Anolis sagrei: one gene and its partners. Each later gene encodes a partner of the first gene's protein in a complex. Links are inferred from orthologs where the notes say so. Each region holds a gene or a part of one and is shown in the gene's direction. Other genes may lie near its edges. The genes, in order: LAMTOR1, LAMTOR4, FNIP1 and LAMTOR3.

Region 1 (7,476 bases):
GGTATCACAGTATCCGGTGCATAATGGATGCAGTTTGGTGCCACTTTAAATTGCCATGGCTCAATGTTGTGGGATCATGGGAGTTGTAGTTTTGCAAGGTCTCTTGGCATACCTGCCAACGAGTCCATCAAACTACAACTTCCCAAGATATCACAGTATTGGGTGCATAATGGATGCAGTTTGGTGCCACTTTAAACTGCCATGGCTCAATGTTATTAAGTCATAGGAGTTGTAGTTTTGCAAGGTCCCTTCGCATTTCTGCCAAAGAATGCACCAAACTACAACTTCCTGAAGTCATGGGAGTTGTAGCTTTGCAAGGTCTCTTGGCCTATCTGTGAATTAGTGCATCAAACTACAGCTTCCCAAGATATCACAGTATTGGGTGCATAATGGATGCAGTTTGGTACCATTTTAAACTGCCGTGGCTCAATGTTATGGGATCATGGGAGTTGTAGTTTTGCAAGGTCTCTTGGCATTTCTGCAATGAGTGCACCAAATTACAACTTCCCAAGATAGCACAGTATCTGGTGCATAATGGATGCAGTTTGGCACCACTTTAAACTTCCATGACTTATTGTCAAGGGAGTTATAGTTTTGCAAGGCCTTGCCAAAATTCTTTGCCAAAAACTGATACAGTTCCCAGGTTTTTCTCTGCCAAAGACTTCTGGTAGTAAATACAACTCCCAGGTTTCCACACCATTGCTAAAGTAGGGTCAAACAAACTGAATTAATTTTGCAGTGCAGATGCACCCTTGATATACCTGCTGTGTGTTTGGGGATGGGTCCAGTTGCAAGGCCCCTTCCCCACAATGGGGGGGGGGCTTGAACCCCAATCCTTCATGCCCCCCCCCTTTCCTAAAAAGCAAAGCCTTGGAAACTCTGCTCTTTGCATGCAAAGACTTTCTCTTTGGAGCAAACCAGAAACCCTCTCTCAACCCATCCTGGTTGCTCCCCATTTGGGGGGTCCCCACCTCCCCAAGACCCCTAAAGACTAAGCTTCACCTATTAAGCAAAAAACAGTTTCACAAACCCTGCTTCTGGATGGTCCAAGAAGGAAGAAGAAAAGCAGGGAAACCTAAAAAGGAGGAAGGAAGGAAAGAAGGAAATGGGTGGTCCCTTTAAAGGACAGGAAGCCCCCCCCCAAAAAGGGAGGGGCAGCAGGGTCATAAAAGGGGAGGCTTGCAATGAGGAGGGCTGCAATAAGCCTTCTCCTTCCAAAACAATGGGAATGTGGGAAGGATAAAAAGGAAGAGGAGGAGAAAAGAAAGGGCTGGAAAGGACAAAGAGGCTGGGAATTGCCTTAGTCTGCCCATCTGCTTAGGGGTCAGGCTATATGACCTCAATCCCTACCTGGAATTATGAGGACTCCAACTGGACACAGGGCTATTCCAGGGAAAGTTTGGCCAATGAAGAAAAGGTTGAGACTAGGACTTTAAGAAGCTCAAGAAATGGGTTGAGGCCATGTAGTCTGGCCCCAGAGTCCGGCTTTGTGGGAAGGAGCATTCAAAGGGCATGCAGTCTGACCCCAGAGCCCAGGTTTGTGGGAAGGAGCACTCAAAGGGCATGCAGACTGACCCCGGAGCCCAGATTTGTAGGAAGGGGCACCCAAAGGGCATGCAATCGTACCCCAGAGCTCAAATTTGTGGGAAGAGGCACCCAAAGGGCATGCAGTCTGACCCCAGAGCCCAGATTTGTGGGACGAGGCACCCAAAGGGCATGCAGTCTGACCCTAGAGCCTAGATTTGTGGGAAGCGGAACCCAAAGGGCATGTAGTCGTACCCCAAAGCCCAAATTTGTGGGAAGGGGCCCCCAAAGGGCATGCAGTCTGACCCCAGAGCCCAGATTTGTAGGAAAGGGGCAGACAAAGGGTATGTAGTTCGACTCCAGAGTCCTGCTTTGTGGGAAGGGTCACCCAAAAGGCATGCAGTCTGACCCCAGAGCCCATATTTGTAAAAAGGCGCATCCAAAGGGCTTGCAGTCGTACCCCAGAGCCCAAATTTGTGGGAAGGGGCACCCAAAGGGCATGCAGTCTGACCCCAGAGCCCAGATTTGTAGGAAAGGGGCAGACAAAGGGTATGTAGTTCGACTCCAGAGTCCTGCTTTGTGGGAAGGGTCACCCAAAAGGCATGCAGTCTGACCCCAGAGCCCATATTTGTAAAAAGGCGCATCCAAAAGGCTTGCAGTCGTACCCCAGAGCCCAAATTTGTGGGAAGGGGCACCCAAAGGGCATGCAGTCTGACCCAGGAGCCCATATTTGTAAAAAGGCGCATCCAAAGGGCATGCAGTCGTACCCCAGAGCTCAAATCTGTGGGAAGGGGCATCCAAAGGGCATGCAGTCTCATTCCAGAGCCCGGATTTGTGGGAAGGGGCACCCAAAGAGCATGCAGTCTGACTCGAGTGCAGATTTGTGGGAAGGGACACCCAAAAGGCATGCAGTCATACCCCAGAGCCCAAATTTGTGGGAAGGGACACCCAAAGGGCATGCAGTCGTACCCCAGAGCCCAAATTTGTGGGAAGAGGCACCCAAAGGGCATGCAGTCTGACCCTGGAGTCTAGATTTGTGGGAAGGGGCACCCAAAGTGCAAGCAGTCGTACCCCAGAGCCCAAATTTGTGGGAAGGGGCACCCAAAGCGCAAGCAGTCATATCCCAGAGCCCAAATTTGTGGGAAGGGGCACCCAAAGGGCATGCAGTCTGACCCCGGAGCCCGGAATGAATATCGTTGCTGTGTGGAGCCATGGAAAGAAGCCTGCTGGTCCCCTCAGTCAGGAAGTTCTTTCTCATGTTCAGATGGAATCTCCTCTCTTGTGGTTTGAAGCCATTGTTCCATTGCGTCCTAATCTCCAGGGAAGCAGAAAATAAGCTTGCTCCCTCCTCCTCCCTGTGTCTTCCTCTCACATATTTATACATGGCTATCACGTCTCCTCTCAGCCTTCTCTTCTTCAGGCTAAACATGCCCAGCTCCTTAAGCCGCTCCTCATAGGGCTTGTTCTCCAGACCCTTGATCATTTTAGTCGCCCTCCTCTGGACACATTCCAGCTTGTCAATATCTCTCTTGAATTGTGGTGCCCAGAATTGGACACAATATTCCAAATATCAGCACCAGACACATTAAAACATTATCATCACAGTTAAAAGATCCAAATCGTCCAAAACCATCACTGTATAATACATTATAGAGTATATATATATATATATATATGATAATATAATTACCCAAACTCTATAATAGATATATTATAGATATAATATAATAGATATAATAGTTACCCAAACTAATATAGAATGTATAATAAAATATCATTAATAATGTATACTAAAATTATAATATAATAATAGATATAATATAGTTACCCAAACTAGTATATAATATATAATAAAATAATATATAATTTATAATGTATACTAAAATAATATATTAATAACAATATATATAAATAATATATATAATATAATAATAAATATAATATATAATAAAGCTATAAGGCAATTATGGCAGCAATTATATGAGTGCGAGCAATTATAAGAGGGATATGGCTTTGAAACTGACTTTTATCGCTTCAGGAAATAATATAATATATAGTTACCCAAACTAGTATATAATATATAATATAAAAATATATAATTAATAAAGTATACTATAATATATTAATAACAATATATAATATAATATTAATAGTAAATATAATATTATAATAAATATAATATAAATATAATATATAATAAAGTTACAAGGCAATTATGGCAGCAATTATATGAGTGCGAGCAATTAGAAGAGGGATATGGCTTTGAAACTGAAGGAAAGAAAGAAAGAAAAAGGGAAGGGAGGAAAAACTAAACTAAGCCTATTGCGCATGCGCAGCCAGTGTTTCGCAAGAAAAAAAAACCCCAAACACATCACGTGATCGCCTCCTGCGAGAAAAGGCAGGGCAGGAATGGAAATTTCCGCTCCGCCGTACGCAATGCGCATGCGTCCCCTTCAGACTGAGAGCGGATTGGCTAGCGCGTGAGCTCAGAGCCCGGCCTCCCTTTGGGATGATCACGTGAGCCAGCCCCACCCTCCCCAGCATTGCCAGAGTCCCCGGATGTTGACAGAGTCTAGAGTTGCCTTCACGTGACCGGAAGTGAGGGCGGAAGTGAGGGGGAAAGTGAAAAAGGAAGCACTGCGAGGGGAGCAGCGGCAGAGGGTCCGTCGGCGGGCCGGTGGGCGGCTTCTTCGGCCTCCTCGTCGTCCTCCGCAACCGCTGCCACCATGGGCTGTTGCTACAGCAGCGAGAACGAGGCCTCGGACCAGGTCTGGGCCCAAAGAATGGGGGGAAAGGGAGGGGCCCCTAAAGGTCATCAAGACCAAACCCAGAGGGACAAACCTGGGCCTTTTGGGGTTTGCTGTGGGCCCACTTTGGTGGTCATGAGGGTTCTGTGTGGGAGGTTTGGCCCAATTCTATCGTTGGTGGGGTTCAGAATGCTCTGTGATTCTAGGTGAACTATCAATCCTAGCAACTACAACTCCCAAATGTCAAGATTCCATTTCCCCCAAACTCCACTAGTGTTCACATTTGGGCATATTGAATAGCCATGCCAAGTTTGGTCCAGATCCATCACTGTTTGAGTCCACAATGATCTCTGGATGTAGGTGAACTACAACTCCCAAGCTCAATATCAATGCCCACCAAACCCTTCTAGTGTTTTCTGTTGGTCATGGGAGTCCTGTGTGCCAAGTTTGGTTCAATTCCATCATTGGTTGAGTTCAGAATGGTCTTTGATTGTAGGTGAACTATAAATCCCAGCAACTACAACACCCAAATGTCAAGATTCTATTTCCCCCAAATTCCACACGTGTTCACAGTTGGGCATATTGAGTATTCATGCCAAGTTTGGTCCAGATCCATCATTATTTGAATCCACAATGATCTCTTGATGTAGGTGAACTACAACTCCCCAACTCAACATCATTGTTTGTGTCCACAGTGCTCTCTGGATGTAGGCGAACTACAACTCCCAAACTCAACATCAACGCCCACGAAACCCTTCTAGTGTTTTCTGTTGGTCATGGGAGTCCTGTGTGCCAAGTTTGACCCAATTCCATCATTGGTTGAGTTCAGAATGGTCTTTGATTGTAGGTGAACTATAAATCCCAGCAACTACAACTCCCTAATGACAAAATCAATTTTTTTTAGTGAAGGACATAGATTGGACTATTACGTGTCTTGTGTCCAAATCTGGTGTCAATTCGCCCAGTGGTTTTTGAGTTCTGTTAATCCCACAAACGAACATTACATTTTTATTTATATAGATCAAAAGTATTGCATAAATTAGTATAAAACCCATAAAAATAGAAGGAGCGCAAGTGGCTAAATATCTTTTGAACAAAAACGGGCAACAGCATTGTCTGTAGCCTCCAACAATTTTTCCTCTGTACATGAAGCAGGACACAATGGATAAGTATACAGATGCAGAGTTGTCTGTTCTGCTCCACGGTGGTCCACTCTCTCGTTACATCCCGAATAGACTACTTTATTTATTTATTTATTTATTTATCTATCGTGTCAGGAGCAGCCAGACAGTTTGTATTACATTTTTGACAGAACAAACAAACAAACATACAAAAGACACAAAGTTTGCCAGTTTGGTAGTGGATTAAATGTCCTTTGACCAGTATCTGGCTTCTTGGAGTGCCTCTGGTGTTGCCGCAAGGAGGTCCTCCATTGTGCAAGTGGCAGGGCTCAGGGTGCATTGCAGCAGGTGGTCTCTGGTTTGCTCTTCTCCGCACTCGCATGTCGTGGATTCCACTTTGTGGCCCCATTTCTTAAGGTTGGCTCTGCATCTCGTGGTGCCAGAATGCAGTCTGTTCAGCTCCTTCCAAGTCGTCCAGTCCACTGTGTGCCCAGGGGGGAGTCTCTCATTTGATATCAGGTTCTGGGTTTGAGCCTGCCACTTTTGGACTCTCACTTGCTGGGGTGTTCCAGCAAGTGTCTCTGTAGATCTTAGAAAACTATTTCTAGATTTAAGTCGCTGACATGCTAGCTGATACCCAAACAGGGGATGAGCTGGAGATGTCTCTGCCTTGGTCCTTTCACTATTGGCTGCTACTTCCCGGCGGATGTCAGGTGGTGCAATACTGGCTAAACAGTGTAATTTCTCCAGTGGTGTAGGGCGCAGACACCCTGTGATAATGCGGCATGTCTCATTAAGAGCCACATCCACTGTTTTAGCGTGGTGAGATGTGTTCCACACTGGGCATGCATACTCAGCAGCAGAGGAGCACAGCGCAAGGGCAGATGTCTTCACTGTATCTGCTTGTGATCCCCAGGTTGTGCCAGTCAGCTTTCGTATGGTATTGTTTCTAGCACCCACTTTTTGCTTGATGTTCAGGCAGTGCTTCTTGCAGGTGAGAGCACAGTCCAGAGTGACTCCCAGGTATTTGGGTGCGCTGCAATGCTCCAGTGGGATTCCTTCCTTCTCAGGTCATCCTCAGAGCTCGGGATGCTTGTCTGTTCTTAAGGTGAAAGGCACATGTCTGTGTTTTAGATGGATTAGGGATCAGCTGGTTTTCCCTGTAATAGGCAGTAAGAGCATCTAGAGCTTCGGAGAGCTTCTGTTCTACCATCTCAAAGCTCCCTGCTTGAGCAGTGATGGCATGATCATCAGCATAGATGAAACTCTGTCCCTTCTGGCAGTGCGACCAGTATAAATCTGATAAAAATAGAAGGAGCACAGGCAGCTAAATATCTTTTGACCAAAAACGGGCAACAGCAACGACATTGTCTGTAGCCTCCAACAATTCTTCCTCTGTACATGAGGCAGGGCACAGCGGACAAGCATACAGATGCGGAGTTGTCTGTTCTGCTCCACAGTCACATAAGGTGTGGGTTTCTTTTAGGTGGTGCCATTTAGCCAGGTTGTCTTTTGATCTGCTCACTCCGCTTCTGAGTTTGTTCAGGGATTTCCAAGTGGCCCATTCTTGGTTTGCCCCTGGAGGAAGACCCTCCCTCTTGGGGGGCCATCCAGTTGGTATTTCCTGGTTGAGCTGCCCAGAAGGAGACCCTTGCTGTTGCTGGGGGAACGTCAAAAAGAGTCTTGGATCTCATGAAGGTTTTCCTTGACTTGAGTCTACTGGGAGGAGGCTGACAGCCATGCAGTGGGTGGCTGCTATGAGCTCACAGTGGCGCAATAGGTTATACCCTTGAGCCAGCAGGATTGGAGACAGACAGGCTGGAGGTTCGATTCCAGGGAGAGCGCGGATGAGCTCACTTTGTCAGTTCCAGCTCCCCATGTGGGGACCTGAGAGATGCTTTCCACAAGGATGGTAAAACATCAAAACATCCCGGCGTCCCCTGGGCAACATCCTTGCAGACGACCAATTCTCTTACACAAAGAAGCAACTTGCAGTTTCTCAAGTTGCTCATGACATGAAAAAAGTGGGTGGCTTTCACAGTGTTCAACCTTATTTCTCTCACATTTAGCCCCAACTTCCCATT
Region 2 (7,741 bases), on another chromosome or scaffold:
TGATCTTTATTAAGGCACAAGCTGGAGGCTTCATAAACTTTGAAAAGGATAGTTCGTGGTCATGGATATGATAAATAGTCCAGTGCATAAGTCAGAGAGTCACAAAAAGGAAACAGGAACCCAGTTATGTGCGCTGGGTCAGGCAGCAACAGAATCCATTGTCCGGCCCTTGGGGAACTACAACTCTCACAAAAGGGCAGAAGTCCCAAGATCCAGCCATTTCCCAAAAAGCCTCGTGGGGTCCTTGTTGTTGTCAGTGCCTTGGCAATGTGGTCAAGACTTAACCCTTGTTGTGTAGTCTGGTGACCTTGCCCTTTGCAGAACTATAAGTTCTTATCCCTTAATTCTGAAAGGGGGGGGGGGGTGCCTGACATCATCACCAAAGATAATCAGAAAACACAGTATTTTCTGTTGGTCATGGGGGTTCTTTGTGGGACGTTTGGCCCAATTCTATTGTTGGTGGAGTTCAGAATGCTCTTTGGTTGTAGGGGAACTAAAAATCCCAGGAATCACGACTTCCAAATTCCACCACTGTTCACATTTGGGCATATTGCGTACCCATGCCAAGTTTGGTCCAGATCCATCATTGTTTGAATCCACAGTGCTCTCTGGATGTAGGTGAACTACAATGTCCACCAAACCCTTCCAGTATTTTCTTTTGGCCATGGGAGTTCTGTGTGCCAAGTTTGGTTCAGTTCCATCTTTGGTGCATTTCAGAATGCTCTTTAATTGGAGGTGAACTATAAATCTCAGCAAACTGTAACTCCCAAATGACAATATGAATATCTCCCCCCCCCCCCCCAACAGTATTCAGATTTGGGAGTATCGAGTATTTGTGCAAAATCTGGTCCAGTGAATGAAAATACATCCTGTGTATCAGATATTTACATTACAATTGATACCAGTAGCAAAATTATAGTTATGAAGTAGCAACGAAAATAATTTGATGGTTGGGGGTCACCAAAACATGAGGAACTGTATTAAGGGGTCACAGCATTGGGAAGGTTGAGAAACACTGATATTTGCTGAATTTCAGATTGCTCTTTAATTGTAGGTGAACTATAAATCCCAGCAACTACAACTCCCAAATGTCAAGGCCTATTTTCCCCAGATTCCACCAGTGTTCACATTTGGGTGTATTGAGCATTGGTGCCAAGTTTGGTCCAGATCCATCATTGTTTGAGTCCACACTGCTCTCTGGATGTAGGTGAACTACAACTTCCAAACTCAAGGTCAATGCCCACCAAACCCTTCCAGTGTTTTCTGTTGGTGATGGGAGTTCTGTGTGCCAAATTTGGTTCATTTCCATCTTGGTGGAGTTCAGAATGTTCTTTGGTTGTAGGTGAACTATAAATCCCAGCAATTACAACTCCCAAATGTCAAGGTATATTTTCTCCAAACTCCACCAGTGTTCACATTTGGGCATATGGAGTATTCATGCCAAGTTTGGTCCAGATCCACCATTGTTTGAGTCCACACTGCTCTCTGGATGTAGGTGAACTACAACTCCCAAACTCAAGGTCAATGCCCACCAAACCCTTCCAGTATTTTCTGTTGGTGATGGGAGTTCTGTGTGCCAAGTTTAGGTCAATTCCATCATTGATGGCGTTCAGAATGCTCTTTGATTGTAGGTGAACTATACATCCCAGCAACTACAGCTCCCAAATGGCAAAATCAATCCCTCCCACCCACCCTACCAGTATTCAGATTTGGGCTTATTGGGTATTTGGGCCAAATTTAGTCCAGTGAATCGAAATGCATCCTGCAGATCAGATATTTACATTACGACGAATAACAGGAGCAAAATTAGAGTTATGAGGTAGCAACGAAAATAATGTTCTGGTTGGGGGTCACCACCCACGTGAGGAAGTGTGTTAGGGGGTCACGGCATTGGGAAGGCTGAGAACGGCTGTGCTAGGGGGTCAATACACACTCGAAAGTGCTGGTTCTCATTCGTGCACATTTTGCAGTTTGAGTTAGCACACCTTGTGCATCGGCCCCCTTGGCCAGCTCCCGTCTGGAGCAATGCCTTGGCTGAATGCATTGGACACTACGGAAGTGCTCAAGAGACGGCGTTGGGCTCCTTCCCTTGCAAGGGCCCTCAAGCAAGGCAGGCATCTGAGCAGAGGCACATCTTGCTCGTTAATAAATAACACGACTAATGTACAGCTGGTGTCTTCAAATACAATGTACTCCCAAATTATATTGGACAGAAATGGAAGTGAGGCCACGCCAGGAAGACTAGCCACGCCAGGACAACGCCCACCATCACTCCAGGAGGACAACAGCTGTCTAGACTCACAGCCATGGGGCTACCTGCAAGCCAATGTCTAGAATCATAGAATCAAAGAGTTGGAAGAGACCTCATGGGCCATCCAGTCCAACCCCATTCTGCCAAGAAGCAGGAATATTGCATTCAAATCACCCCTGACAAATGGCCATCCAGCTTCTGCTTAAAAGCTTCCAAAGAAGGAGCCTCCACCACACTCCAGGGCAGAGAGTTCCACTGCTGAACGGCTCTCACAGTCAGGAAGTTCTTCCTAATGTTCAGATGGAATCTCCTCTCTTGTAGTTTGAAGCCATTGTTCCATTGCGTCCTCGTCTCCAGGGAAGCAGAAAACAAGCTTGCTCCCTCCTCCCCCCTGTGGCTTCCTCTCACATAATTATACATGGCTATCATATCTCCTCTCAGCCTTCTCTTCTTCAGGCTGAACATGCCCAGTTCCCTAAGCCGCTCCTCATAGGGCTTGTTCTCCAGACCCTTGATCTGTTCCCTCTTCCCTGTGGCTACCTCTCACATATTTGTACATGGCTATCATATCTCCTCTCAGCCTTCTCTTCTTCAGGCTAAACATGCCCAGTTCCCTAAGCCGCTCCTCATAGGGCTTGTTCTCCAGACCCTTGATCATTTTAGTCGCTCTCTTCAGGACACATTCCAGCTTAGAGTCAATATCTCTCTTGAATTGTGGTGCCCAGAATTGGACACAATATTCCAGATGTGGTCTAACCAAAGCAGAGGGGTAGCATTACTTCCTCTAACTCAGGCCCAGGCCACCTTCAGCCCTCCCTCCCTCCGGGTGTTTTGGACTTCAACTCCTACAATTCCCAACAGCCTACCAGCTCTTAGGAACTGTGAGAGTTGGAGTCCGAAACCTCTTTGCGCCTAGGAGGACAAACCCTGTCGCTGTCTCCACGCCTTCTCCCTCTATTTGCCAGTTCTTGATTTAAATGAAAACTAAATGGATCGGTACAGCAGACCGTGGGGAGAAGACAGAGGATATGGTCAGCTAGCCCCACATGGGATGATGCAGTTGCTCAAAGCCAAAAAAATAACTGGGTGGCCATCTGTCAGAGGTGCTTTAAATGTGCAGGGCAGAAGGGGGCTGGACTAGGTGGCCTTTAAAGATCTCTTCCAACACTATTATTATTATTATTATTATTATTAGAAACATAAAATGACTCCACAGCAGACACTCATTATTATGATTATGATTATTATTTGAAATACAATAAGATGAGTCCACAGTATACTATTATTATTATTATTATTATTATTATTATTATTATTGAGGCTGGATTGCCATCTTTCAGGGGTGCTTTGATGGTGCTTCCCCTGCATGAAGGCAGAATGGGGTTGGACTAGATAGCCTTTGAATGTCTCTCCCAACTCTATTATTATTATTATTATTATTATTATTATTATTATTGAGGCTGGCTGGCCACCTGTTGGGAGTGCTTTGATGGTGCTTTCCCTGCAAGGCAGAAGCGGATTGGACTAGATGGCCCTTAAATGTCTTTTCCAACTCTATTATTATTATTATTATTGAGGGTGGATGGCCATCTTTCAGGGGTGCTTTGATGGTGCTTCCCCTGCAGGAGGCTGGACTAGATGGCCTTGAAATGTCTCTCCCAACTCTATTATTATTAGTAGCAGCAGTAGTAGTGTTGAGGCTGGGAGGCCATCCGTCGGGGGTGCTTTGATGGTGCTTTCCCTGCATGAAGGCAGAAAGAAGGGGGCTGGGCTGGCTGGCCTTTGGGGGTCTCTCCCACTCTTTCCCTCTGATCCTGCGCTGAGGGCCCTTCCTTCTCTCTCTTTGGGAGATTCCGGGGAAGAAGGGGCCCTCCCTCCTGAGGCCAGGCATCCCTCTTCCCTCACTTCCGGTCCCTCCGCGCTGCTCCTCCTCCTCATTGGGCGGCACGCTTCCTCGTAGTCTTTGATTGGAGGAAGCCACGGCTACGCCACGCCCACTCATCCACGGGAGCCAATGGGAGGCCGGCAGGGAGCGGGGGAAGAGCGCCTATTGAGGGCGGGACGCCTAGCGGAGCTGCAAGGGTGTTGCCGGAAGTTGGAGGCCCTCACGTGACGCGCGGGCCCCTTGGCTGTGGAGATGGTGCGTTGCCAGGGCGACCGGGAGGGGAGGGACTGGCCCCCCTGGCCCCCCTCTTCCTGTGCTCATCCGGGTCTCTCTCTCTCTCCCTCGGGCAGGCTTCCTCTGCGGCGGCGGCGGCGGCGCTGACCCAAGGGCTGGAGCGCGTCCCCGACCAGACCGGGTACCTCGTCATCTGCGACGGAGCCGTCCTGGCCGTGAGCAAAGGGGGCGGGGCCTGCGGGAGGAGGGGCGGGGATTAAGAAAAGAGAAGATTGAGAGGGGGCGGAGTCTGGGAGAGAAGGGGCGGGGCCTGCGAGAGGGGGCGGGGTCTGGGTGAGAAGAGGCGGGGGCTGCGAGAGGGGGCGGGGTCTGGGATTGAAGGGGCGGGGATTAAGAAAAGAAATTTGAGAGGGGGCGGAGTCTGGGAGAGAAGGGGCGAGGCCTGCGGGAGGAGGGCGGGGTCTGGGAAAGAGGGGGCGGGGCCTTGAAGAGGAGGGGCGGGGATTAAGAAGCGGAAGCAAACATTGAGAGGGGGCGGAATCTGTCTGAGAAGGGGCGGGGCCTGCGAGAGGAGGGCGGAGTCTGGGATTGAAGGGGCGGGGAATAAGAAAAGAGAAGATTGAGAGGGGGCGGAGTCTGGGAGAGAAGGGGCGGGGCCTGCGGGAGGAGGGCGGGGTCTGGGAGAGGAGGGGCGGGGATTAAGAAGTGGAAGCAAACATTGAGGGGGCGGAGTCTGGCTGAGAATGGGCGGGGCCTGCGAGAGGAGGGCGGAGTCTGGGATTGAAGGGGCGGGGATTAAGAAAAGAGAAGATTGAGAGGGGGCGGAGTCTGGGAGAGAAGGGGCGGGGCCTGCGGGAGGAGGGCGGGGTCTGGAAAAGAGGGGCGGGGCCTGGGAGAGGAGGGGCGGGGATTAAGAAGTGGAAGCAAACATTGAGAGGGGGCGGAGTCTGGCTGAGAAGGGGCGGGGCCTGCGAGAGGAGGGCGGAGTCTGGGATTGAAGGGGCGGGGATTAAGAAAAGAGAAGAATGAGGGGGTGGGGTCTGTGAGAGAAGGGGCGGGATTTGTATAGGAGGGCGGGGCCTCAGAGGGGGCCTGGGAGGGAGGAGCGAGATATAGGAGGGCGGGGCCAGAGGTGGAGGGGGCGGGGCCTGAAAGAGGAGGGGCGGGGCCTAGTTGGAGATCAACAGGGGCAGGCTGGGCTTGGGTTAGCTGTGTGTTTTCCTGGCACTGTGTGGACAATGTCACCCGGCAGCACTCTCTCCTGACGTTTCGCCTCCATGTCTGGCTCCTGGCTTATTCATAATCACTTACAGCATTATTGTGATGGCACGCCGGGGTAAAAGGAAAACTCTATGTCTGGCTATTCCCGGTGGATATTGGTATACCCTCTGATGTACTTTAGTTCTTTAAAATATTTTATTTATTTATTTATGTATTTATTTATGGCATTTCTATGCCGCCCTCCTCACCCCGAAGGGGACTCAGAGCGGCTTACAAGGTTTATATTACATGCAATATATTATATAATTAGCATAGTACAATATCAGCATTAAACATTGCTATATTGCACCATACCACCATATTGTAATATTATTAGTAGTATTACATGTAATATAAATATATAATAATAATAATAATAATAATATATTATTATTATTATTATTATTATTGCATGACATTATAATATTATAAATATTCTATGTATATCCAATATATTATATTATTAGCCTGACACAGGAGACTAGATGGGGCTGTCTTCCTGGGCCCCTCTCTTCTATTTTAAATCTTTTAATTGTGTATTGTGGATTGTTATGGGGTCAAATTGCTTCCAAAAGGTGGGGCATAAGCAAACCTAACTGATCATAATGGTAATTCTCCTCCTCCCTGGTTGACCCTCTCCTTCTCCCTTTTGCAGTCTGCGGGCGACCTGGAGAATGACGAGCGCACGGCGGCGGCCCTCTCGGAGCTGGCCAGCACCGCCTGCGCCTTCCGCCTGCCCCGCTCCACGGAAGTTCCCTTCCGACGCATCTCAGGTGAGAGCAGAGGGAGGGGAGGCCTTCTCTGCGGACCCCCCCCCCCCCCAATTCCATGTAGTGCTGGAGGTCAGTGTGGGGCTGTTGTGTTGTGTATCAGCCTTACTCCTGCAGGATTCTGGGAAATGCAGTCAACAGCAGAGTCTTTGGGATTCTGAGCCAAGCAGGTCCCACCTCTCCTGAACTACATTTCCCAGAATTCTGCTGCAGGTTGATGCTGTGATGCATGACTGGAGTACCTCTCCCCTCCCAACCTTGTGGCTGCCTTTCCACCTCCTGCAGAGTGCTGGGATTTGTAGTTTGTAGTTTCTGGCCTGTGTATTTATGCCCCCCCCAATATTCCATTTACTGCTGGAGGTCAGTGTGGGCTTGGTGTGTTGTGTATCAGCCTTACTCCCGCAGGATTCTGGGAAATGTAGTCAACAGCAGAGTCTTTGGGATTCTGACCCAAGCAGGTCCCACCTCTCCTGAACTACTTTTCCCAGAATTCTGCTGCAGGTTGATGCTGTGATGCATGACTGGGGCACCTCTCCCCTCCCAACCTTGTGGCTGCCTTTCCAACTCCTGCAGAGCGCTGGGATTTGTAGTTTGTAGTTTCTGGCCTGTGTATTTATTTGTTTATGACCTTTCTTTGCCGCCCTTCTCACCCCCAAGGGGACTCAGAGCAGCTTATATATCTATCTATCTATCTATCTATATCTATCTCTATCTATCTATCTATCTATCTATCTATATATATATTAGGGCTGGGCGTTTCGTTTCGTAATTCGTTAAAAATCCGTTAATTTTTTGTTAACGAAGCGATAACGAACCATTCTGGAGCAACTTAAAAACGAAACGAATTTTTCAATTTGTTTCGTAAATGCTTCGTATTTCGTTATGTATTTGTTTCGTTATTGGTTTGAGATCGTTTCGTTATTATTTCCGCATGTCTGGGGCAAGTTTTATGGTTGTTTTTTGTTTAATTAGTGAAAAAAAATTATAATATCACACCAACAGTCAACAACAGAGGGAGAGGGAAGCTTCAGAAGTTTTTTCTGAAGTTTTTTAGCGTTTTGCGCGATCGCGGCCGCCATTAACGAATCGATTCGTTATTGTTTCGTTATTGTTTTGTAAATTTTTTACCATTTACGAAATTTCGCAAATACCGAACTTTTTTTAAGGAAAATTTTGTAATTATTTTAAATAACAAAACGCAAAACCCCCCAAAAAACGAATCGATTTTAGAAACAAATTTTTCCGTTGTTACCCAGGCCTAATATATATATATATATATATATACACACACACACACACACACACACACACACACAATATATTATATAATTAGCATAGTAC
Region 3 (7,328 bases), on another chromosome or scaffold:
GTGGGTTGTGTTATGGGCATGGCAATTTTGGTTAAGTTTCGTTGGTTTTTTTTGAGTTTTGTTGTTTTGCCGTTTTGTGAGTGTGTTGTTGTGTTGTTTTTCATTTTGAGTAGATATGTTTGTACCTTGTGGGTTGTGTTATGGGCATGGCAATTTTGGTTAAGTTTCGTTGGGGTTTTTTGAGTTTTGTTGTTTTGCCGTTTTGTGACTGTGTTGTTGTGTTGTTTTTCATTTTGAGTAGATATGTTTGTACCTTGTGGGTTGTGTTATGGGCATGGCAATTTTGGTTAAGTTTCGTTGGGGTTTTTTGAGTTTTGTTGTTTTGCTGTTTTGTGACTGTGTTGTTGTGTTGTTTTTCATTTTGAGTAGATATGTTTGTACCTTGTGGGTTGTGTTATGGGCATGGCAATTTTGGTTAAGTTTCGTTGGGGGGTTTTTGAGTTTTGTTTCCTCGTTGGATGCCCCTAACAAATTTATATATATAGATGAGTATGTACCCATCATCCCTCACCACTGCCTGTGCTGCCAAGGGCTGCCGAGAACTTCAATCCAACAGGTTTTGGAGAACCATAGTTCCCCTCCTCTAATACAGGTGATCTGAGAGGTCTCTGCTACCTTTAGCTATCCACAGGCCATCTAGAGCTATGATGCTAACATTAAACACAACGACGGAAGGAAGAATAAAAATTGTTGTAATGCCTTGCAGATCTGTGAATGCCTCATTTGTTCCTTCACTGTTGTGGATTCCACATTACATTGCTATGTTCATAATTGCTGCCGCATTCTCAGTATTTAGCTGAGCTGGTCATCACATGACAGATACACAGTCTACCACCAGGCTGTACTCAAAGCTTTACCAACTTGATAAAGCTGCCAGATCTTGTGTTTTGGCAGTAAACGCTTTAAGAGCCCAGCTTCAGTTCCATGCTGTGATGAGGTGGCAGAAAAGGATTCTGTAAGTAACAAAAACAGCAACTTTTTTTTCCCCTCTGAGAGACAAAAACACCCATACATTCACTCAATAATCCATACAATGACTTTTTCAAACAGCTAAGTATTATGTTTCTCCTATTTCAATGATAGTGAGCTGAGGATTGGTGGCTTTCATGCAGCACTGATGAAATGGTTACAGATACTCTCCTGTTAACTTTGAGGTGTGGGAACATTGCAGCAGGACTGCTCCCTCTGCCAGAAAGAGCACATGCTTCAACTCTTCCCCATAATAGCACTCCCCGGAGAGCAGGACAGGGATGATGATAGGAGGCCTTGCAATGCTGGCCACTTCCACATGGCTTGCTGTGTAGAGCTCTCATTCTGCAAAGGGACTGTAAGGCTGGGGCCTTCTTGGCTCTTATATTCTAGAACAGTATGTACTGAAACAAATGGCAGGAAAAGGTAGAAGTGGGAGATGCCAGAAAATGTTGCTCTTAGTCTGTGTTCCAGTTCATATCCTCTAGGAAACTCCATTCCATTATACCTCCTCGCACAATTGGAGTCCAGTCGGATGGGGAAAATGTGAAGGCCAAATGAGGACTCCAGGAGGTGTAGGTTTGGCTCCCGAGCCTGAAATTCCCAACCCCTGCTATACATATGATTTGAAATTACAACTTCTTCTCCATTTGTGTGCAGATATGATGAGAATGATGCTGCTTTTATGATCCTCTTGCCGTCAGGCTACAATGTATGGGTTGATTTTGATATGACCTGTGGATAATTTGTGGGTCAAACCAAGGAGACAGAAAGCACCACTGTCACCTCATTCCAAACCACCACTGCCCTTTGGGAATCCAGGCAGGAAAAAGGCCAGAAGTGGTGCCATGGCCGTGAGAGTAGAAAGATGGGTGCTGCTTTTAGGTCAGTGGTTCCCAACCTTTAGTCCTCCAGGTGTTTTGGACTTCAACTTTCAGAAATCCCAGCTATTAGGAATTGTGGGAGCTTAAGTCCAAAACACCTGGAGGACCAAAGGTTGGGAAACATTGTTTTAAGTTCTTTTGGGATGGACTAATCTCTCTTCTTTGGCTATTCTACGCAGAGAGGGAGGTGGTTCCTTTTTTTTATGAGTTACTTACGGTACATTGACCTATGGAGAAGTCAGCCCAGTTTTGTGGGGGCTGTTTTTTTATATTTTTTTATTACAAAAGTGTATAAATTTATACTTGAGTATACATAGCACGGTTTCCAGGATTTTATTTGGTGCCATCTGTTGAACGTGATAGAATTATAAGCATGGGCTTTCACAAACATCATCATTTCTGTGTTGTCGAAGGCTTTCATGGTCGGAATTATTGGGCTGCTGAGAATTTTCTGGTCTGTATGGCTGTGTTCCAGAAGCATTATCTCCTGACGTTTTGCCCACATCTATGGCAGGCATCCTCAGAGATCATGAAGTTTGTTAGAAATTAGGCCGACTTTCCAACAGACCACACAACCTCTGAGGGTGCCTGTCATAGATGTGGGTGAAACGTCAGAAGATAATGCTTCTGGAACACAACCATACAGCCTGGAAAATTCACAGAAACCTATTAACATTTCTCTCCTGATTCTTTCTGGATGTTGTCATAATCACAAGCAGAAGCTAGAATTTTGACAGTCTTGTGGGTTATTCTGGATTCTTAATGAAAAAAGGAGAACACTTTTTTGGATCCTTCGACAATACTTATTTGGATCCTTTACTTTATTCTACACAATAGTACAATAGCTGAGTTTGAACAAAACAAAGTGTGTCCCTCACTTTTGTTGTAAGAACTGAAAGTACTAACTCAAAGGAGCAGCTAAGGAAACAGATTCTCCAAAGTAGATGCAATATTGATTACTGTGAATGTTCAGGTTGTGAGGCCTCTGAGGATGCCTGCCATAGATGTGGGAAAAATGTTTTGGGGGGTGGGTGGGGGCTTAGTCTGAGTGAGAGAGAATCTACTCTAGCCAACCTTTTATATCGTTATCCCAACACCCCCATGCATATGAGATATATTGAGGATAGTGCCGGCGCACTCCCCTTCCTCTCCCGGCACCGAAGGCTGAAATCAAAGGAAAGAGAGTGCGCTGATGGCCCAGGTGTGGACAAGGACGCCACCGTGCCACGTACCAGTAAGGCCTTCTCGTGGATCACCCTGAGAATTTCGGGGGGGGGGGGGGGGGGGGGACTGAAGCCCCTCAACCCCCCCCCCCCCCCGCTACATAAGGTTTTAAATTTTGTGTTATTGCTTATATGTGAGTTATATTAATTGTACTGTTTTATTGTTTGCTGCTTTGCTTTTACTGATGTGTTGTTGGGCTTGGTCTCACGTAAGCCGCCCTGAGTCCCCTTGGGGAGATGGTGGCGGGGTGTAAAGTTTTTATTATTATTATTACATGTGACTATGAACTTAAAATCAGTTCATGTGACTATGAACTTAAAATCAATGCTTCATCACGCTAGAGAATGAACCCACTTTAAATCTGGTTTCTGCCTCCTGCAGAATTCTGGGGTTTGTAGTTTAGTGAGGGGCCTTTCACAGCCTCACTAAGCTACAAATCCCAGGATTCTGCAGGAGGCAGAAACTGGATTTAAAGTGGGTTCATTCTCTAGAGTGATTATGTGGTTAAAACCATTGGGTCTACACTGACCACATGATGCAGTTCCAAACTGCATGATATGGCAGCGAAGATAGGACAACCAGTTGCATCCCTTATCGAGCTCTGGAGCTGCAGCTCTTTAATCAAGGCGAGGGAGGAGGGGGAGAAATCAGTTTTGAAAAAAAGCAAAACACAAACGACGATTGAGGATGTTTCCTTTTGTTTTTGCGAGCCAACCCCCTCCTTGCTTGAGAGTGTGCTTGGAAGGGGGCGGTGGATTGGGGCCAAATTTGGCGGGAGAGATCTCCCCCTTCTTCCTCTTCTTCCTTCTCCTCGTTGCCTTCCTTTCTGGCCCCAAAACACACCCTGCCTCTGAGCCGCGCCAAGCCCCGCCCCTGTGCCACGTGAGCAGGCCTCCTCGGCCAATCCGCGGCGGGGAAGCCCTCCCCGAGCCCCGCCCCTCTCCTTCCCTCGCCGGGGCTTCTCCGAGTGATTAATTTTTGTCATATGACTGTCACACGCGCGGGCGGGCGGGCGCCTTACACACACACACATACACACACACAGGGAGAGAGAGGCGGCGAGGGAGACAAGGCGGGCCGAATGGACTCGCCTTGGCGGAACTAGCTGCCTTTGCTGCTGCTGCTGGGAGGCAGGCGAGGGACCCTCCTCCTCCTCCTGCTTGCGCCCACCATGCCCCCCACGCCCACCCTGTTGCAGAAGCTTTTCAACAAGAGGAGCAGCGCCTCGCCTTCGCCCGCCAAGGAACCCAAGGAGGAGTGCGTCCTCAGGTAGGGAAAAGAGGAAGGGAGGGAGGGAGGGACCCCCAGGAGAGGGGCTTCCCACCTTGCCCCCCCCCCCCACCCCGCTTACTCTCTTTCTTCTTGGCCTCCTCAGTAAACACAATGCAGGAAGGGCCAGGAGGGCTCCCACATCGCAGAACTTCTTTTTGCATTGTCGAAAGCTTTCGTGGCCGGAATCACTGGGTAGCTGAGAGTTTCCTGGGCTGTATGGCCATGCCCCAGAAGCATTCTCTCCTGACGTTTCACCCGCATCTATGGCAGGCGTCCTCAGAAGTTGTGAGACCTCGCAACGTCTGAGGATGCCTGCCATAGAGGCAGGCGAAACGTCAGGAGAGAATGCTTCCGGAACATGGCCATACAGCCTGAAAAACTTAAGCAACCCACTTTTTGTGTGTGTGTGCTTCATTTGCAATACTGTGGCACAGGCATGGGCAAGCTGAGCTCCAGATGTTTTGAACTTCAGCTTCCACAATTCCTAACAGCCTGATACTCTATGAATACATTCAGTGGTCCTCAACCTGTGGGTCCCCAGGTGTTTTGGCCTACAACTCCCAGAAGTCCCAGCCAGTTTACTAGCTGTGAGGGTTTCTGGGAGTTGAAGGCCAAAACATCAGGGGCCCAACAGGTTGAGAACAACTGTACTAGGTATACTCTATACCAGGCATCCTCAAACTGCAGCCCTCCAGCTGTTTGGGACTTCAACTCCCAGAATTCCTGACAACTGAACAAGCTTGTTAGGGCTTCTGGGAGATGGAGCCCCAAGCAGCTGGAGGGCCACAGTTTGAGGATGCCTGCTCTATACATTCCATGTATCTATAGTATCATTCACAACCTCCCCAGTTCTGAGTATTGCCCTTCACTGGGTGCATCTACACTGTGGAATTAACCTAGTTTGGCACCACTTGGCTTCATCCTGTGGACTCCTTGGGGTGTATTATATTTTTATAAGACCTTGTGAGGAAAGCCACCACTCTCAGCACTGAGCTGTGGCAGTCCAAAGTGGTGCCCAAACTGCATTAATCCTACAGTGTAGGTGCAGCTCCCTCCCTTTCCAACTTCTAGAGCAGTGGCTCTCAACCCGGGGTCCCCAGATGTGTTTGGCCTACAACTCCCAGAAATCCCAGCTAGTTTACCAGCTGTTAGGATTTCTGGGAGTTGTAGGCCAAAAACATCTGGGGACCCCAGGTTGAGAACCACTGTAGAGGATCTCAAGTGGAAATCGCCAGGAGGAAGACCCCTAATAACAAGACAAAAGTTCTTTCTCCCACCCTGGATACTCCACAGATATATAAACCCCATTTTCCTAGTTTCCAGCAGACCTCACGACATCTGAGGATGCCTGCCATAGATGCAGGTGAGACGTCAGGAGAGAATGCTGCTGGAACATGGCCATACAGCCTGGAAACTCACAACAACCCAGCCCTAATAACTCTAAGGCTCACTTCCCCTGGCTTCCCCCTTCCTGCAACGTTGCTCCTTCCTGCCTCTTTCACTTTCTCAGTCCAGCCATACAGCCTTGCTTTCCTTCCTCCCTTCAACTCTAAAATTGTTCAGCTCCCTTTGAAACGTGGACATTCAGGGCTGGAGAGCAGTAGAGAAATTTCTTCATTACTGTGAAAGAGACAAAATCGAGCCATTTTCCTCCTTTTGGCCGATTTTTGAACTCTTCCTCTTTTCTCTTTCACTCTCCTCCCTCTTCCTCTCTTTCTCTCCTTTTGCAAACTTTCCTTGTTTGTGTGCATGCACACTGTAGAATGGATGCAGTTTGACTGCTTTCTGGTTTGGTGAGGCGTCGCTACCCTTAGACCCTTCCACACAGCTGAATAAAATCCCACATTTTCTGCCTATGGCAGTGTGGACTCAGTTAACCCAGCTCAAAGCAGATATTGTAGGATTTTCTGCCTTGATATTCTGGGTTAGAGGGCTGTCTGGAGGGTTTCTTTGTCAGATGGCCTTTCTGGTTTCTCCCTTTGTCAGAGAAGGCTAAACTAGCAAAGCTAGTAGCCATTAACCTGTTGTCAGATTGCATTGTTAGATGATGTACCCCTTGCTGCTGAGTTGGGAAGAAGGGGTGGAGTAGTCTTTTCCTTCTCTTTTGCCAGCCATGACTTTCCTTTTCTGCAGAAAGGGTTGGGGTGATCCGGGCAGTGATTTGGACCTCTCTCTCTGTGTTTATAAAAAATTGAAATGAAGGTTGACATTTCCCTTGGCCGCTTTCCTTGGAAGGGGAAGAGGATGGCAGTGTGCCTGGCCAGAGCCACCTTAAATCTGCAACTTGGGCCGCTGCCTCTTGCTTGACAGCGGATGAGGAGTGTAGGGTTACCAGAGAAATCAGTCAGGATCCTTCCACAACAGAGGAACCTTGCCTGGCTGGGCTTTTCTGGCTCTCCCTTTATCTTGCTGTTGTAACAACAACATCAACAGAAATGTGACTAGTGAGAGTCTTCTTGAACTCTCGAAATGATCATCTTACAATGTGTGTATATCTCTTTTGTGTACTGTTGGTATAATTTTGTCCTGAAGATGGAGGCCTAAATCCAGCTGCTTAAAGTTAGAAGTGTGGCTTTTAGAAGTTCTTGCTGGTTCAATAATGTTTGGGATTAGATTTCTGATCAAGGCTGCCTCTTCACTGTATCATAGAATCATAGAGTTGGAAGAGGCCTCATGGGCCATCCAGTCCAACCCCCTGCCAAATAGCAGGAAAATTGCATTCAAAGCACCCCCCACAGATGGCCACCCAGCCTCTGTTTAAAAGCCTCCAAAGAAGGAGCCTCCACCACACCCCGGGGCAGAGAGTTCCACTGCTGAACAGCTCTCACAGTCAGGAAGTTCTTTTTATTGTTCAGGTGGAATCTCCTTTTCTGTAGTTTGAAGCCATTGTTCCATGTCCTAGTCTCCAGGAAAGCAGAAAACAAGCTTGCTCCCTGCTCCCTATGACTTCCCCTCATTTATAAATGGCCATCATGTCTC
Region 4 (8,147 bases), on another chromosome or scaffold:
TTACATCATTGAATTGTTCTTTGAATTTTACTCCCAATGCTTCTGTGAATTCTTCTACAAGGAAGAAGCCACTCAGATTGGCTAGCTCCACTTGTAGAAATGTAAACATAATGGTTTTCCTTCTGAAATACTTGCCATGTAAATATGTGTGGGGAAAAACACTAGTGTGTATATAAAACTGTTAAAATCTCTAAGGCATATTTAGAGTCATTAAAGCTTTTAATCTCATGGATGGAATAAATGATATGACTACATCATTCTTTATTTAAGTATCAAGTATGTGGAACCGAAAGGAACAGGCAACTTTTTTGCATACAATTCTATGTTGAAGAAACTTAGTATCTTTTTTTAGTAGGCCATGTTAATTTAAAGTTAAAATGCTTGATTAAACCGGTTTATTGCCAGAATGCCAGCATTTTCCTCTTGCAGCTTGAACACTTCATATCTAAGCAGTGACAGTGGAGAAATCCACACCAGGCTATTTCTTGCTGAGTGAAATATAGTCACCCTAAAACTGAAATATACAAACATTCCATTTAGCATGCTGCTTCTTCTGATACACTAAAAAGAAAACCTGGCATAATAAAGACCACACTGCTGCTGCATCCCCCACCCTTTTAACATTTTGAGTTGCAAATTCTTTCAACATGGAAGGCATGGAATTTCCTATGCTGTAAATCTGCAAGCAGCTTGGTATTTTATAAATAGCTGTTTGGCAGCCTAGCATTTTTGTTAACCTGGATATCAGACTGCTCAAGAAAGTTGTTCCTGGACTTAAGCCTTGTGCCTTTGAACCATTTTGTTGATTCTCAGGTTGTTTTGAAATGCTGCTATTAGTTGTACCTGGAACTTCACATTGGCCCAATCATCCCAGCTAAGAAGTCACAGAACAGGTGTTTCAGTCCGGATGTGTGCAGAATGGAAGTTTATAAAGAGCGTTGAATAGCAAGAATGTAATGAAGGGTTTAGATTTTGAGGACTCGTATAAGAAATATGCATGTAGTCACTTTTGTTAGTGTAAATGCAATGTGCAGTTTTCAAGACACTAAAACATAGCAGACCTGGTGCCTGAAAAATGAGGATTTTAGCAAATGTTTGTAAGCTACTGCACATCAAATTCTGAATTCTTTTTTAATTTTAGTTTTAATTGCTGTCAAGGGTAGCAACTGTGAATTATCTTAGAACATAGAACAAGCCTGCAGAGTTGTTTCAGCTTCTGTCAGAATTTTTAATTTAGGTAAGAATATATTACCTTTTTTCTGTAGTAAATCTCAGTGTTGTCTAATTCATACAGGTAAGTTTTAAAAAATAGATTGAACATTTCTAAAGAGATCAATTTCCCTTGATTCATAGGACTTCTTGGACACAGTTTTTATGTTAAACCAAACTTCTGTGCATACTTAAGGCCTATCTGGAAGCCTACAGCACGATTTCAGTGCCACGATCTAAATTACAACTGTTTTTGTATAAACTTTTTGTAATGTATATCTGAAATGTGTTTCAGAGGGAAAAGAACCACAGAACGGGAAGGCTGTGAGTTGCACAGGTAACCTCAGTTGGGTAAAGAATGTTTAAAATGTTTTTTAAAAGCAGATTCAATAATTGAGCAGATCAATTGTTCTTATTCTCATTCATCACTTCCTCGGCCCAATTATGGCTCCAACCCAAAGCAATACTGAATAATTTGTATATAAGATTCTTTAAACACCTACAATCATCTGCAAAGCAGATTTCCTGTGCTCTACATCACTCAGCAACTATATTCAAATTCCATGATTTTAGTTTATTTTGTGGATTACAGGATTGTGTAATTTGCAAAATTCACTTTAAAATTAATTTAAATTTACATAAAATGTTATATGCAATATCACAAGTAATAGTTACTTAACTTTCTTTTCCAGTAGGCCCAGGGAGCCTTTTGAGCCCCCAGGTTTTATTATTATTATTATTATTATTATTATTATTATTATTTGCACTCACCCCAATACCTCATAAAAAAGATAGAATATACCAGTATTTTCACTCGTGCAAGCATCCAGGAACCAGAGCTTTGCTTGTCCTCCCATCTCCCTGCTCAACTGGAGGTTTTAAAAACTGACGTGGGACTCCTAACCACTTCCAGTTCGGTTTGTGTCTGTTTTCTGGTTCAGTCACTTCACAGTGGATTTAGGGGCTGAAGTGTTACTGCGAGACTTCATACATTGCAGAGAAAGAAGTGTCCAGCAGGGTGAATCACAAGTGGAGATGAAATCCCTTTTGGCTTTCAAGTTCTATAGAACACATGAATTTATGGTAGCTTTCAAAATTGTAGAACTTACATGGATCTGAAATATGTTAATGTGGGCAGCATTAATGATTTAAAGATGACCTTTTTATTAGCTCCAAGTAATCATGTACTGTGTTCAGTGTTTCCCACCAAATACATTTGTCAATAGAGGGTAATTTTGTTTCCCAGGGACCTGCCACAGGTTGCAACCCCTCAAAATGCTTTTGTTTCTATGTGTATGTTATCCTCCAATGATCCAAAAAGGGCTCTACTATTAAAAAGTTTCACAAGAAGTTTACATCTTCAAAGGAGCTTTTGTGCCGAGTTGTGAGTTTTCCGGGCTGTATGGATATGTTCCAGAAGCATTCTGTCCTGACGTTTTGCCTGCATCTATGGCAGGCATCCTCAGAGGTTGTGAGGTCTGTTTGAAACTAGGAAAATGGGGTTTATATATCTGTGAAATGTCCAGAGTGGGAGAAAGAATTCTTGTCTGTTTGAAGTAGGTGTGAATGTTTTAATTCACAACAAAGGATTCCTCCAGGCAGTAAGAAGCCAGACCTTGAAACCGCTAGGCCATTAAATGTTAATTAAGGTAGCCAATTGAAAGTTTCACCTACCTCAAACAGACAAGAGTTCTTTCTCCCACCCTGGACATTCCACGGATATATAAACCCCATTTTCCTAATTTCCAACAGACCTCACAACCTCTGAGGATGCCTGCCATAAATACAGGCGAAACATCAGGAGAGAATGCTTCTGGAACATGGCCATACAGCCCGGAAAACTCACAACAACCCAGTGATTCCGGCCATGAAAATGAAAGCCTTTGACAATTCATTGAGCTTTTACGTTTTGAGGTGGGATTCTTTGAATCTGTAAGAACAAGTTGACTTTGGAAATTAGTTTCCTATGAGACAAGAAAGCCACCTTGTCATTATTTAATAAACATTTTTAAAATCCATTAGTGGCCCACAATTTAAAAACTTTAATGGTCTTTGATGGGGTTTTGTGGAAACATAACAGAGTTTCATCTTACTGAATATAGTTGATGGAGAAGCTGATCCATTAGACTGAAATGATTGGTGCAGTTCTTGATGTTTAGCCTATGTTTTCTCAATAAGATATATTCCAAAACTGTCTGCACTGTGAAGGAAGACTTTCTAGTTTTTACAAGAAAGGAATGTCCATGTGCAATGTGATTCCCAAGTACATTAAAATAAACAGAATCATTCCTGCACTTAATAAATTGTAAAAAAAAAAAATTATCAATGCCCTACAGACAAATGATGTTTTCAGAACAATTGCTGTCAATGGATGACTTTCTGATAGTGACTACTAATTTCTTGGGATTGCATGAAACATGTCAGACTCTACAAGCATAACTTGACATTGGCAATAATAAGAGTTATTTTTAAGCAAGTGCTTAGGAATTGAACTGTCATGTGTGTCTCATGACAGCTCTAGAAACTGGAAAGGGCTTCAGTGTTAGTTTTGGAAGGGCTGATAGGATGAGAGATCTATTTGTGAATCATGCTTTGCCAGTTTATAACAGACACCCTGCAATTGAAATTCTATGAAATTGAGACTGGCATCTTAACAAAAATATATGTTATTTAACTGTAGATGTAATGTTAGATTTTTAAAAATCTAATTTGTAATTTACCTAATGTAATATCAGACTTGTATCAAAATAAAATTATTTTCGGTGTGAATAAAACATTTTTATCTGATTCTCTAGTTCTGTCACAGGTACTTGAATATAAAAAAAGGAGACAATTTACAAAGAGTTTATTTGCATTCCTGTTGTGGTTCATCTTTTTCAACTACAATATGTGTTTGTGAATAGTCACAATTTTAATTACCACTCTTCATGAGTTTGATCTATTCTTTCTGCTCTACTAATCAAAAAGTCTCTTCTACTGCTGCAAGGAATTTGGATCCAGTGGAGCTTCTTGGTAGGCAAGGAACTGCCTGGACTCTCCAGCTTGAGTCCATCTACACCAGGAATGGCCACACTTGGGCCCTCCAGGTGTTTTGGACTTCAACTCCCACAATTCCGAACAGCATGACCCCTACCGGCTGTTTGGATCTGGAGCAAACTTGGCATGAATATTCAATATGCCCAAGTGTGAACATTGGTGGAGTTGGGGGGAAATAGACCTTGACATTTGGGAGTTGTAGATGCTGGGATTTATAGTTCACCTACAATCAAATAGCATTCTGAACTCCACCAACGACGGAATTGACCCAATCTTGGCACATAGAAAAATACTGGAAGGGTCTGGTGGACACTGACCTTGAGTTTGGGAGTTGTAGTTCACCTACATCCAGGGAGCACTGTGGACTCACACAATGATGGATCTGGAGCAAACTTGGCATGCATACTCAATATGCCCAGATGTGAACATTGGTGTAATTTGGGGAAAATAGACCTTGAAATTTGGGAGTTGGAGTTGCTGGGATTTATAGTTCACCTACAATCAAATAGCATTCTGAACTTCACCAAAGAAAGAATTGGGCCAAACTTCCCACACTTCTGATGGTCCTTGGCGACCTTGGCGAGGATTGAGAAACACTGCTCTAGGCGGCCAATCCTTTTATTGGACTTCATTTCCCAGAAGCCTCAGATGCTTTCACCAACGATGGAGAATTCTGGGAGCTGAAGTCCAAACACCTGGAAAGACCCCACGCTTAAGACAATCATGCAACCAACCTCTCTACAGGTGATCATAAGCCTAATTGACGCTTGGGAGACACTGAACTGAACCACGTGGCTCCTCCCTCCCTCCCAAGGCCTGGCCCTCTCTCACCGGAAGTTCCCCTGCTCCAAAGCGGAAGTGAGGGACAGGAAAAGGGAAGAGAAAGTCTCCAGTCACATGACAGCAGAGGCTTGAAGGGGATGCAGCTGCGGATCCAGGCAGGACTTCTCAGGCGGGGCGCCCGGGAAAGAAGGGAGGTTTGTAACCAGAGGAAGGCACCAAGGGGGTGAATGAGAGGGGAAGGTTGCCAAGGGGTTAAAGGCGTCTTGCTTCCATTGCAGCAGGCATACTATGTATCCCACTCTTTCCCTCCTTTCTATAGTGTCTAGATCCAGGGAAGTCATGCCACCCCCTCTATTCTGCCTTGGTTAAACCACACCTGGAATCCTGTGTCCAATTCTGGCCACCACATTGTTGAATCTAAGTTGGAATGTGTCCAGATTAGGGCGACTAAAATGATCAAGGGTCTGGAGAACAAGCCCTAAGAGGAGTGGCTTAAAGAGCTGGGCATGTTTAGCCTGAAGAAGAGAAGGCTGAGAGGAGACATGATAGCCATGTATAAATATGTGAGAGGAAGCCATAGGGAGGAAGAGCTGCCCTGGTGACTAGGATGCAGAACAATGGCTTCAAACTACAAGAAAGAAGATTCCACCTGAACATTAGAAAGAATTTCCTGACAGTGAGAGCTGTTCAGCAGTGGAACTCTCTGCTCCAGAGTGTGGTGGAGGCTCCTTCTTTGAAGGCTTTTAAACAGACGCTGGATGGCTATCTATCAGGGGTGCTTTGAATGTGATTTTCCTGCTTCTTGGCAGGGGGTTGGACTGGATGGCCCACGAGGTCTCTTCCAACTCAATGATTCTATGATTCTGGAGACCATCGGTTCATTAATGCTGTTGGACACCCCTTTAACTGCCATAGCTCAGTGCTATGGAATAATGGGAGTTGTAGTTTTATAAGGTCTGTAGCTTCCTTTGCCAAAGAACACCGGTGCCTCCCCCCAAAACTACATCTCCATGATTCCACAGCTAGCATTGAGCCATGGCCCTTAAAGTGGTGTCATAGAATCATAGAGTTGGAAGAGACCTCATGGGCCATCCAATCCACTCCCTTGCCAAGAAGCAGGAATATTGCATTCAAAGCACCTCTGACAGATGGCCATCTAGCCTCTGTTTAAACACCTCCAAAGAAGGAGCCTCCACCACACTCCGGGGCAGAGAGTTCCACTGCTGAACGGCTCTCACAAGCTTCCTCCCTCCTCCCTGTGACTTCCTCTCACATATTTATACATGGCTATCATATCTCCTCTCAGCCTTCTCTTCTTCAGGCTAAACATGCCCAAAACTAAGACAAGTCAAACCCCCATTTTGGACTTTAGGAGAGCTGATTTCCGAAAAATGAAGGAAACACTGAGCAGAATTCCGTGGACAGATACTAAAAGACAAAGGAGTGTCAAACTGCATTAATTCTATGGTGCAGATGCACCCCATATCTTCAGAGAAGGAGCACCCGAGATCCATGACAATCTGGGAAGTTTGCATTCTTTCACGATTTCTAATTAAAAGGGTTGCTTTTAATTTGGCTGCTTCCATAGGTCTTGATTGAGGGAAGTACAGTAGAGTCTTGCTTATCCAACTTTCGCTCATCCAACGTTCTATATTGTCCAACGCAGTTCGCCTCCTTCCTGGATCCACAGCTGTTTCTATACAGTGCGACGTTTTGGTGCTAAATTCGTAAATACAATAATTACTACATCACATTACCATGTATTGAACTGCTTTTTCTGTCCATTTGTTGTAAAACATGATGATTTGGCGCTTAGTTTGTAAAATCATAATGTAATTAATAAGTTTTTCCTTAATCCCTCCTTATTATCATACATTTCCCCTTATCCAACATTCTGCTGGCCCATTTATGTAGGATAAGCAAGACTGTACTATAATACAGGTTGAACATCAATCATAAAAAGACTAAAAGAGACTCCCAAGGGCCATTCAGTTCAATCCCATTCTGCCATGCAGGAAGATGCAGTCAAAGCACTGACAGATGGCTACTCAGCCTCTTTTTGGGCTCTTCCATGCAGCCATAAAACCCAGAATATCAAGGCAGAAAATCTCACCAAAGGATCCCCCAGGCATCAACCAACCAGATTTTGAAGCTGCAAGGCCATGAAATGCTAATCAAGGTGGCCAGTTGCAACATTCACACTTGCCTCAAACAGACAAGAGTTCTTTCTCCCACCTTAGACATTCACAGATATATAAACCTCACTTGCTTGGCCCCATGCTAGCCGCTCCGAGTCCCCATTGGGGAGATGGTGGCAGGGTATAAATAAAGTTTATTATTATTATTGCCTAGTTTCCAACAAACCTCACAACCTCTGAGGATGCCTGCCATAGATGTGGGCAAAACGTCAGGAGAGAACGCTTCTGGAACATGACCATACAGCTTGGAAAACTCACACCAACCCAGTGAAATCCATGAAATCCATCAAGAACACATTATATCCCACAATGTCTGCTTTGAACTTGATTATCTGAGGGTCCTTCCACACAGCCCTATATCCCAGAATATCAAGACTGCAAATCCTACATTATTTGAGTGTGGATTCAGATAACTCAGTTCAAAGCAGATACTGTGGGATTTTCTGCCTCAATATTCTGGGATATATGGCTGTGTGGAAGGGCACTAAATTCAACTAAAGTAGATCCTTTGAATGGGTTGTTGTAGGTTTTTCCGGGCTATATGGCCATGTTCTGGAGGCAATTTTTCTCCTGACGTTTCGCCTGCATCTATGATGCAAGCGAAACGTCAGGAGAGAAATTGCCTCCAGAACATGGCCATATATCCCGGAAAAACCTACAACAACCCAGTGATTCCGGCCATGAAAGCTTTCGACAATACATAGATCCTTTGAATCTCAGAGATTTACATATGTGTTGATGCATTCATCAGTTATTGATTTAGTGGGCAAAGGTGAGGCTTAGCAGTTAGAATTCAGGCAAACAGTCGCTTCCTTGTTTGTTGTTACAGCAACATATATCCAATCCCTAAATTCCATTCAAACCTTATCCCAAATATTGTGTACAGTGAAATGACATGAAACACCTTTGCAGTAAATAGTT

What was found.
Region 2: LAMTOR1 (region 1) and LAMTOR4 share a complex: the UniProt entries of both Homo sapiens proteins name them as parts of the ragulator complex. The link is inferred for Anolis sagrei from reciprocal best matches to the Homo sapiens genes LAMTOR1 and LAMTOR4.
Region 3: LAMTOR1 (region 1) and FNIP1 share a complex: the UniProt entries of both Homo sapiens proteins name them as parts of the lysosomal folliculin complex. The link is inferred for Anolis sagrei from reciprocal best matches to the Homo sapiens genes LAMTOR1 and FNIP1.
Region 4: LAMTOR1 (region 1) and LAMTOR3 share a complex: the UniProt entries of both Homo sapiens proteins name them as parts of the ragulator complex. The link is inferred for Anolis sagrei from reciprocal best matches to the Homo sapiens genes LAMTOR1 and LAMTOR3.

Annotation. Positions count from the first base shown.
Region 1 is NC_090023.1:4,770,702-4,778,177, forward strand, and holds the start of LAMTOR1 (ragulator complex protein LAMTOR1), read left to right. Parts: upstream 1-4,091; 5' UTR 4,092-4,250; coding exon 4,251-4,292; intron 4,293-7,476. Other genes in the region: secreted frizzled-related protein 2-like, read right to left, coding at 1,031-1,167. UniProt on the Homo sapiens protein: Key component of the Ragulator complex, a multiprotein complex involved in amino acid sensing and activation of mTORC1, a signaling complex promoting cell growth in response to growth factors, energy levels, and amino acids.
Region 2 is NC_090026.1:580,933-588,673, forward strand, and holds the start of LAMTOR4 (ragulator complex protein LAMTOR4), read left to right. Parts: upstream 1-4,292; 5' UTR 4,293-4,388; coding exon 4,389-4,391; intron 4,392-4,486; coding exon 4,487-4,585; intron 4,586-6,285; coding exon 6,286-6,403; intron 6,404-7,741. UniProt on the Homo sapiens protein: As part of the Ragulator complex it is involved in amino acid sensing and activation of mTORC1, a signaling complex promoting cell growth in response to growth factors, energy levels, and amino acids.
Region 3 is NC_090022.1:93,982,671-93,989,998, reverse strand, and holds the start of FNIP1 (folliculin-interacting protein 1), read left to right. Parts: upstream 1-4,057; 5' UTR 4,058-4,248; coding exon 4,249-4,346; intron 4,347-7,328. UniProt on the Homo sapiens protein: Binding partner of the GTPase-activating protein FLCN: involved in the cellular response to amino acid availability by regulating the non-canonical mTORC1 signaling cascade controlling the MiT/TFE factors TFEB and TFE3.
Region 4 is NC_090025.1:26,545,668-26,553,814, reverse strand, and holds the start of LAMTOR3 (ragulator complex protein LAMTOR3), read left to right. Parts: upstream 1-5,108; 5' UTR 5,109-5,222; intron 5,223-8,147. UniProt on the Homo sapiens protein: As part of the Ragulator complex it is involved in amino acid sensing and activation of mTORC1, a signaling complex promoting cell growth in response to growth factors, energy levels, and amino acids.